Bombyx mori: one gene and its partner. The protein of the gene in region 2 interacts with the protein of the main gene of each other region in a pairwise test. Links are inferred from orthologs where the notes say so. Each region holds a gene or a part of one and is shown on either strand. Other genes may lie near its edges.

What was found. The genes of interacting proteins can lie anywhere in the genome.
Region 1: the proteins of anaphase-promoting complex subunit 2 (region 2) and anaphase promoting complex subunit 11 interact in a two-hybrid assay, tested with the Drosophila melanogaster proteins (2 studies listed by BioGRID). The link is inferred for Bombyx mori from reciprocal best matches to the Drosophila melanogaster genes mr and lmgA.

Annotation. Positions count from the first base shown.
Region 1 is NC_085118.1:13,747,138-13,751,325, reverse strand, and holds the start of anaphase promoting complex subunit 11, read right to left. Parts: upstream 2,686-4,188; 5' UTR 2,504-2,685; coding exon 2,485-2,503; intron 2,475-2,484; exon of another isoform or gene 2,271-2,474; coding exon 2,035-2,270; 3' UTR 2,028-2,034; exon of another isoform or gene 987-2,027; intron 1-986.
Region 2 is NC_085131.1:8,614,755-8,618,936, forward strand, and holds anaphase-promoting complex subunit 2, read right to left. Parts: upstream 2,868-4,182; 5' UTR 2,737-2,867; coding exon 403-2,736; 3' UTR 356-402; downstream 1-355.

The DNA.
Region 1 (4,188 bases), on a different chromosome or scaffold from region 2:
TGGCCATGCGCGAAGCAGCTGGTAGATGTCTACCCCCGCGTGTATTATTTACGCGTCATTGCCAAACAAAAATTACGCGTTTGAAACTAAATGATATTTGATTAAGTAGGTGGTAGGACCTCTTGTGAGTCCGCGCGGGTAGGTACCACTACTTCGCCTATTTCTGCCATGAAACAGTAATGCGTTTCGGCTTGAAGGGTGGGGCAGCCGTTGTAACTATACTGAGACCTTAGAACTTATATCTCAACGTGGGTGGCGTATTTAGTTTGTAGATGTCTATGGGCTCCAATAACCACTTAACATCAGGTGGGCTGTGAGCTCGTCCACCCATCGAAGCAACAAGAAAAATTAAAAAAATTAAAAGGACGATTTCGGGGCAAAAAAAATTGCTTGCCATCAACGTATCCTGTCAGGACTTCAGCTTTGATCACATTTCTTTGAAGTGCTGTTAAGCAATATGTGGGACCTTTTTGGTTTATAAACACACCGATGTCGGCATGCAGCACACTAAGCTCCAGAGGGCCTAGAATGGCATCCACTCTCTTCTCGTGAGTTTTGCGAAAGGCAACTCGAAGAATAGACAGCAAGGTTCACAGTTAATTTTTGCTGAGAGATTAATGAGTTGTCACAACCCATTCTGTGACATGACTTCTAAGTCAGTTTTTACAGTACATCGGCTGCTCCACACATCAAATGTTTACATTTTACTGCTTCACAGCAAAAATATGTAGGATGGTGGTCACTATCAGTGCAGGCAGAAACGATGCCCAGTAAAAAAGTATATTATAAATACTGTATATAAAGATTATATTTTAAGAGTATCCCAGTATTTTGGTTTTTTTGGGAGAGATAATTTGCCCTTTGACCAAATTATTTGGTGCCAAAGGCAAATCATCCAGAATCCTTATAGAATATTTTTCCAGAGATTGTTTTCTATCACTACAGATGTTTTGTTAATAATCATTACCTAATATTTATAATTTCAGAGTGGTTTGAACAAATTCAGGTTGTGGGAGTCGAACTACACTGCATCTAATCCCTGCCCAAATACAAATAATGGAAAAGCAGTGAAAATTTTAGCAGTAGGCAGCGGCTTGGCTCTGCCCCTAGCATTGCTGAGGTCCATGGGCGACGGTAACCACTCACCATCAGGTGGGCCGTATGCCCACAGGGGCAATAAAAAAAAAAAGAACATAAGGTAGGCTAATTTCACCAACACATCTAAATTTATCAGTAGTTCATATCGGGGTGAAAGGCTATTTGATTTGAGCGACATTTTTGCAGCTTTATAGCAGAGCCATTTAAAGTTTAAAATTTGAAAAAAAAAACATAATAAAAAAAAAACTTCTTTAGCTTAATTAAAGTTCAATTAAAAAATTATACTGACATCAAATAAAATGCACCTTTAATTACAAAGATAAATATCGAATATTATCTCTTAAACCAAATAATAACCTTTCACCCCTCGTTATTATGATATTTTTGACAATCCCTTGTACAACAATTCACAGAAAACTTTAATAATATTTAATCTGTACTAGCATAGTAGCAACCTTTTGTCTTTAAAACTTAGTACTCTGCTGAATTATGAAAGGAAGGAAACTGTAGAACTCCGTAATCAAAGCTTCAAAGAAAGAAAAATGTTGTGATATTGTCAACTTCATTTATGTTAGATTTGCATTATTCTGACATTAATAATAAAAGTTGCTATTATGTGCAGATCAATCCCTATATTCTATACTACATACCACCTGATTAATAAGTTAAGGTGAGATTTAAACTTGTTATCACTAAACTAAAAATGACTAATAAGGATTTGTGACTCTATAATCATCGAACCATTTAACTACTTATTGAGTTTGAAAACACCAAACAATAAATTTTTCCAAATTATTCTAGCCTTATAGGTTGGTAAACAAAATATAGTTACAAAATGGGACAGCAGTGACACAATAAAGTGTGAGAATAAAAACCTATATTTATTTATTATTTAAACTATATTTTCTTAATTTATGGTATGTACTTACGAATATTTCACTTGTTATTGAACTTCCAGTCTTGTCTGCACATAGGACACTGCTGTTGAGGCTGAGAGTGTAGCCACTTTACGATACAGTGAATGTGGAAACAGTGAGAGCAAGCACCCCAAACTAGAGGGCAGTCGTCCCCAGGTAGTTTGCAGTCTGGACAGCAGCTATCAAATGGCATACGACAAATCCCACAATTGTCGTCGTTTGCTACCCACCTCCAAGTTGCAACCCCTGTCCAACCTAAAATGAATTATCTCGTTACTGTGAATATTTCAATTTCAATCGGTTCTTCCTTGTATGAGGAATTTTTAAGAATTGTGCTCTATGACAATAAGGCACTTAGCAAAAATTACTACTTAATTTACTTTAATGTCAGTGTGTTTTAAGTTGCAAAGAATAAAGTGTAAATTAACCAGGGAAAATAAACATTATGAAAAAAAGAGATTGTGCTTACTTTTTACAGTTACTTTCATAGCGCGATCATGAGGCTAAAATAGAAGTTTTAGATTTATTTAACCTTAAGATCCTTCATAATTAAATTAACGATTTTTATGATATAATATGTTGACTGAACAAATTTTTTTCAGTATTTATCATTTGCCTTTAAGTTTATGTGCTAATTTTAAAAATATAATGTTTATTTTATTAATCTAACCACTGAAGTAAAATCAAGTAAGATCAAATAAATTTGTTTTTAATGTCAGTCATATGTCAGTCTTATCGGCTACTTTATTTTTTGAACTGGAAAAACGAAGGTATCACACCATACAGCGTATTTTTTGTGTATTCTGTGAATTCTGTGTTTTGAAAAACCATAGAGCGAAATGAGATGAAGTTTATTAATTTGAGACAGTAAATCAATTAGGATGTTAATGAAATGAGATGAGATGTGATGAAATATAGTCTCAGTGGAGTGGTGGTTATGCACCAAGACTTTTTGGAAGCTTTTGAGAAGCTACGTCCAGCGAATTTGTTTCATTTTCCCACATTTGTGCACCTTCAGAGATACTAAACAGTTAATAATGTAATATAGTATAATAATAGTGTAATAATCACCGTTATTACACGTTTAAACATGAGCACTACTTTAACAAAATTAACAGAACTTAGCGCCTTGCGTTCCCGCTAAAAAAATTGTCAGATGTTAATTCGAAAATTTTCAAAGTGTAATTTTTATTATTTTATTTCAAAATCTGATAGGCACGGGGATCGATACATGAAACGAAGTCATAAACGAGTACCATATTTTGAAATGATGTTAAGTGAAATAAAAAAAAATTACCAAACTCAATTAAACTACTAAAAATCATTTGAAATAAAAAGAACTAAAAACTAAACAAGGTCTTTAATAAATCACTTTTAAACAATACTAAAAATAGAAATTACACATGTACTGGAACTTCAGTGAAAGAACTGCAAGCGGAAGCAACTTGAAATACGCAAGTACCGGTAAAATGGGGCGATTAGGGACAAATTCCATCTTTATGACCAATTTTAAGGTAGTTGTTGATGTATATAATGCTATATCAGGATCAAAATGATTGAGTCTTGGGAGCATCTTTGTTGTCCAATTTAAAACTATGCAACTAGCATTCCAGTTTAAGCAAAAAAAGCAAAAATAGGTGTAATCCCTATTTACCCGGAAATTGCGGTTAATTGGGACGAAATGAGAAATTTGCTAGGGTGGGCACTACTTGGTTTTAATTTATTTATTTAGTTGCACCAACAAAGTGATCATCAATAAAAAACATTAAAAAACGGACACTCTGAACAAATAATAAATATTTTATTATGTATTACTTAGACATTTTTGTCCACCTTGAGATTTCATTGTTCTTATTACATGTCTGTGCAAAATTGACTTACTTATATTAAATTGCTTAGCTATTTCAACTAAAGACTTATTCCCAAATAGAAAATTTCCTAATTGCTGTTTTTAATATTAAGGGATAATATCTCTTATAAGGCTTTGCATTCTTTGATACGTACACGCGAGGCATATCTAAAAACAGAAAACAATACGTAACTGATAATATAAATATTTACCAAACAATAAAATAAAACATTGATAATTTTGAATAAAAGTTCTAGACAAAAACATCACGAATAAACCAGATTTTTACCAACAAATTTAAAAAATATTGTTATAACTACATAG
Region 2 (4,182 bases):
CCATGCAATTAATTTTTTTTAGACCAAATGCATTCCACCCTGCATATTTATAATGAATCTGTATTATCTCCAGTATGTTTTTCTTGTCAAATTAGTTTTATTTATTTATTCTTACTTCTTAATTTAAACAGTATTTTAATAGATATTAAGACTGACACATGATAATGTATTAAATTCACTAAGTATTTAAATGTTATTCGTATTATTTTATAGTCAAGTGGTGGTATTACTTATTTTAATTTATAATGTATTTTGTTGATGGAACAGCTTAAAGAAATTGTTTTAAGCATCTGAACTTTTAACTTAAATAGACATGTAATGTAACCAAATTAATATATAAAAGGTGAAAATAAAGTTTTGTTAACTTTCAAGTTCTTTTTTATTTCTGATAAATATTAACATCTATGTCTTAGGCAATTTGTACATGCCTCCTTGAAGTACCAGTTGATGTGTTCTTACTTTTGTGTCTAAAAATTGTCTCAGCTCCATAAGACTGCATTCAGTGCCTGGAGCTTGGGAAGCAAACATCTTCAACATTTGATGTATTCTGTCCAAAGGCAAACAGTCCAAGTTTGTTAACATGCCTACAATATAAGACCAAAAAACTTGCAGTTCACCTTCCCGCTGATCATGTGCTGATGCCATGGCACTCTCCGTTTCTTCATCTTCACAAATCATTTCCTGTACTTGATGTGAAGGTACACTGGCTTTATTATCAGCTTCAACTAAAACAAAGTGATCTGTACTTTTTTCTGCTATTAAACCCATCGATTGCCAGTATGTTATTTTCCTTCTCAGAATAGTAATAGGAACTTTCATCACCTGATGGAGTTCATCTAACGTCCATTCAGATTTATTTTGGAAATGCATTATCAATGTCGCATTAAAAGGTGAAACTGTCAGATCTAACTTCTTTTCGCCTATTTCTATCTCTAAGTTTACATTTCCAAGGTGTGGTTTCCAGCTTAATGTTCGATTACCTTTTAAAGCTTCATAAGATTTAGTGTATGCTTCAAAATGTTCCTTGATTTCTTCTGGTAATTCCAGACTTTCATCTTTAAATGGTGGCCAAAACTGTGCAGATAAAATCATTGCATTAGAAGTAAATTTCTTATTCAGCTCCTCAATGGTTTTGTCCTGATGTATTAAGGAATTAATTCTCTTTGAATCTGATATATCTTTAAGCATGACTTCACAGAAGTGTAATTGTGATTCACCAAATCTTATTTTTAATAGCTCCAGGTACCTAATTTCTTTTTCTGTATTGATAACACTTTGAGCCAGTAATCTATCAGCTAGTAAAGTTCTATATTCATTAACAAACAATTCCTTGCTACCATAAACATTAACAAGCATAGATATAATATCATTAGTTCTTCTGTCATTTGAATCAACTTTGGGATCAGCATCAACTGGATCAGGATTCCATTCATCCCAAGCCTCATCTTTATCGGCATCGCCATCTCCTTCTGCTGCAAATTTAGCTAGCTCTTCAGCTAACTCACTACCAGCACCTTCTTCTGTCAAACTGCTCACAACACTCCTCACTGTATCTTCTCTACTTCTTAAATAATTACGAACAGGTTTTGTCACTGTTTCCAGTATAACACCAGAAGGATCTAGGTGTCTCAAAGCTCTAATAGTAGATATGTAAGCAGTGAGTATGTCAGGAGTGTTCACGCCTGGGTGAAGAAGCCTTGTTTCTAATGCATTCTGTAACTTTTTACATAGAGTTGGTCTCAAATCTGTTTTTGCTAAACAAATTTTGATGTCATCAACAGCAGGCTGGGAATCAGGATATTCTATAATGATGTTGAAGAGCTGATCAATTCTTGTTTTTGTGTAGCTATGATAGAGATAGTAAGTGAGTTTCTGTTTGAATCTTGAGATTGCATTTTGTATATTTTTATCATCAGGTGGAGGTTTGGAGGAGCCAGCACAATAAATTCTGATCAACCAAGACATTACTGTCGTATTAAGCCAACTTTCTAATGCTTCAATGTGGGACACATCAAAAGTGCCAGTACATACTTTCTGTATATGAGACTGAATTCTCAACTGGATGAAATTAGTTAGAACTTGACCTGTGAGTCTTTCTAACAATTGTAACTCCACCAACTTCCTATTTGTTTCATGAAATACTTTCACAATGTATGCACAGTTACAATCGGAATACTCGTTTCCACAACCAGAACACATTATGTCCTCGCCCATGTCGGAGTTTTCATATTCATTATCGAAAACATTAAAAGATATTTTGTAGAATTGGTTTATAATACACTGAAAGTCGATGGGTAACTGAGACAGAAGAGTAGCTCGGACGAGCTGCTTAAAACCTAATACAAGATTTTTCTCGCCATAAATTAACTTATTATCATTACAACTACTGTTCAATTTAGTCAATCTTTGTAACATGGGTGAGAAACTAGAAACTGCTTCATAGAGATCATTCACTGAAGATTTAAATAGTTGAAATCCTTTAACTTCTTCCGCGGTCTTAATATATTTTGACCAAAAACTAGATGCGACATGTTGTCGTAGATATTTCTCAATATGAACAAATACAAGATCACGTATCTTTATTTGGACACCCAAATTAACTATTAACACTTGCACTTCATCGTATTCAGCCTCAGTACAGTCGCTGAAAATTTTATCATCGAGAATTGGATAGGCATAGTTTATTTTATTCCAGTACAGTTTCAAATCTTCCTTTTTATGATTTATATTCATCATTATTGCAGGTCAGTTATCTTATACATAAGATCTAAGATCTAAGAACGATATCCTCATAAATAAATTAATTAATGTTTACACTTTACTCTTTGCGTTCAATCCTAATATATTAATCTGTGGATATTAAGTGTCTAATCTATGATCTGTGGTCCTGTGCCATAGAGTTAGTATTTTAGCTGAATTTGGCCTCCTTTTTTTAATTTTCAAATATATTTTTTTAATTTTAATTATTTATTCGTCGTTTGTTCGTTAATGTTCGAATGTAAAAATTGTTTGTTCGTCCATTATTTATTTATAATTAAACAAATGATCACTCTTAAGTTAGCCCCTCTTACAAAATATCTTTATTTTTATCGATCAGATTAATTAATTGTGATCAATTATCGTTTGTTCGACAACTACTGGTGATTGCTCGATCATAAAAACAATTAAATTCCCAATTATTAATTTAATATTCTTAGAATAATTAGAAATCACTGAAATTTCTATATGGTTGTTAATATTCAATATAATTAAAAATAACTGAATTTATTAAAACCGGGCGAATCGTACTTTAACGACTAATTGGTCGTCTTCACTGACATTTTTTTGTTGAAGTATTGTTGAAGTTTTCAATATTTTTTTGATCTACCTAGGAAATAATTAGACAGTTTAAGCGCACTTGTTAACAAAACGCTAGTAAATACGGCCATTGATAGGTGACTGACAAAACCGGCGCATGCACAATATAGGCCTGATTGCTTAATAGATATAAAATAATTAATAATTGGGAATTTATTTGTTTTTATGATGCAACAATCACCAATAGTCGCCGAACAAACGATAATTGATCAAAATTAATTAGTCTGAGTGATAGAAATAAAGACATCTAGTAAGAGGGGCCGACTTAAGGGTGATCATTTGTTTAATTAATTATAAATAAATAAAAGACGAAATAACAATTAAAAATAAAAAATCCAATAATTACAAAGGGGGGGGGGCCAAATTCATTGAGCTCCAATATTTCTGACATTTAATTTAGTTCCACGCGGCTAAATAACTCGCCGGATTTTTTTTGTGCAAAATTCCTATTTCACTTTTCTCACAACAAAATATATGGTTTTGGCCTTTGTTATAAATTAAATGGTGTGATTTTATAGGTGAATGAAGTTAGCCCCTCAAAAAAATTTTTTTTTCCTGTTTTCTACTTATTTTCTATTAATTCGTTTGTTCATCATTTGTTCTTGATTGTTCATTGTTAATAATTGTTTGTTCCCCATTTATTTATTTTAAAAAAAATATTAAAAATATATCTAAAAGTTAGCCCCTCGATTGCAATTTTTAAAATTTTTTCGTCCTTAATTACTCGTAAATATTCATTTTCGATTGTTCTTATATAAAATACGTTTGTTCTCTTTCGAAATTACTCATTTTTTGTTTAATTAATTGTATTAGTTGAATAAATGT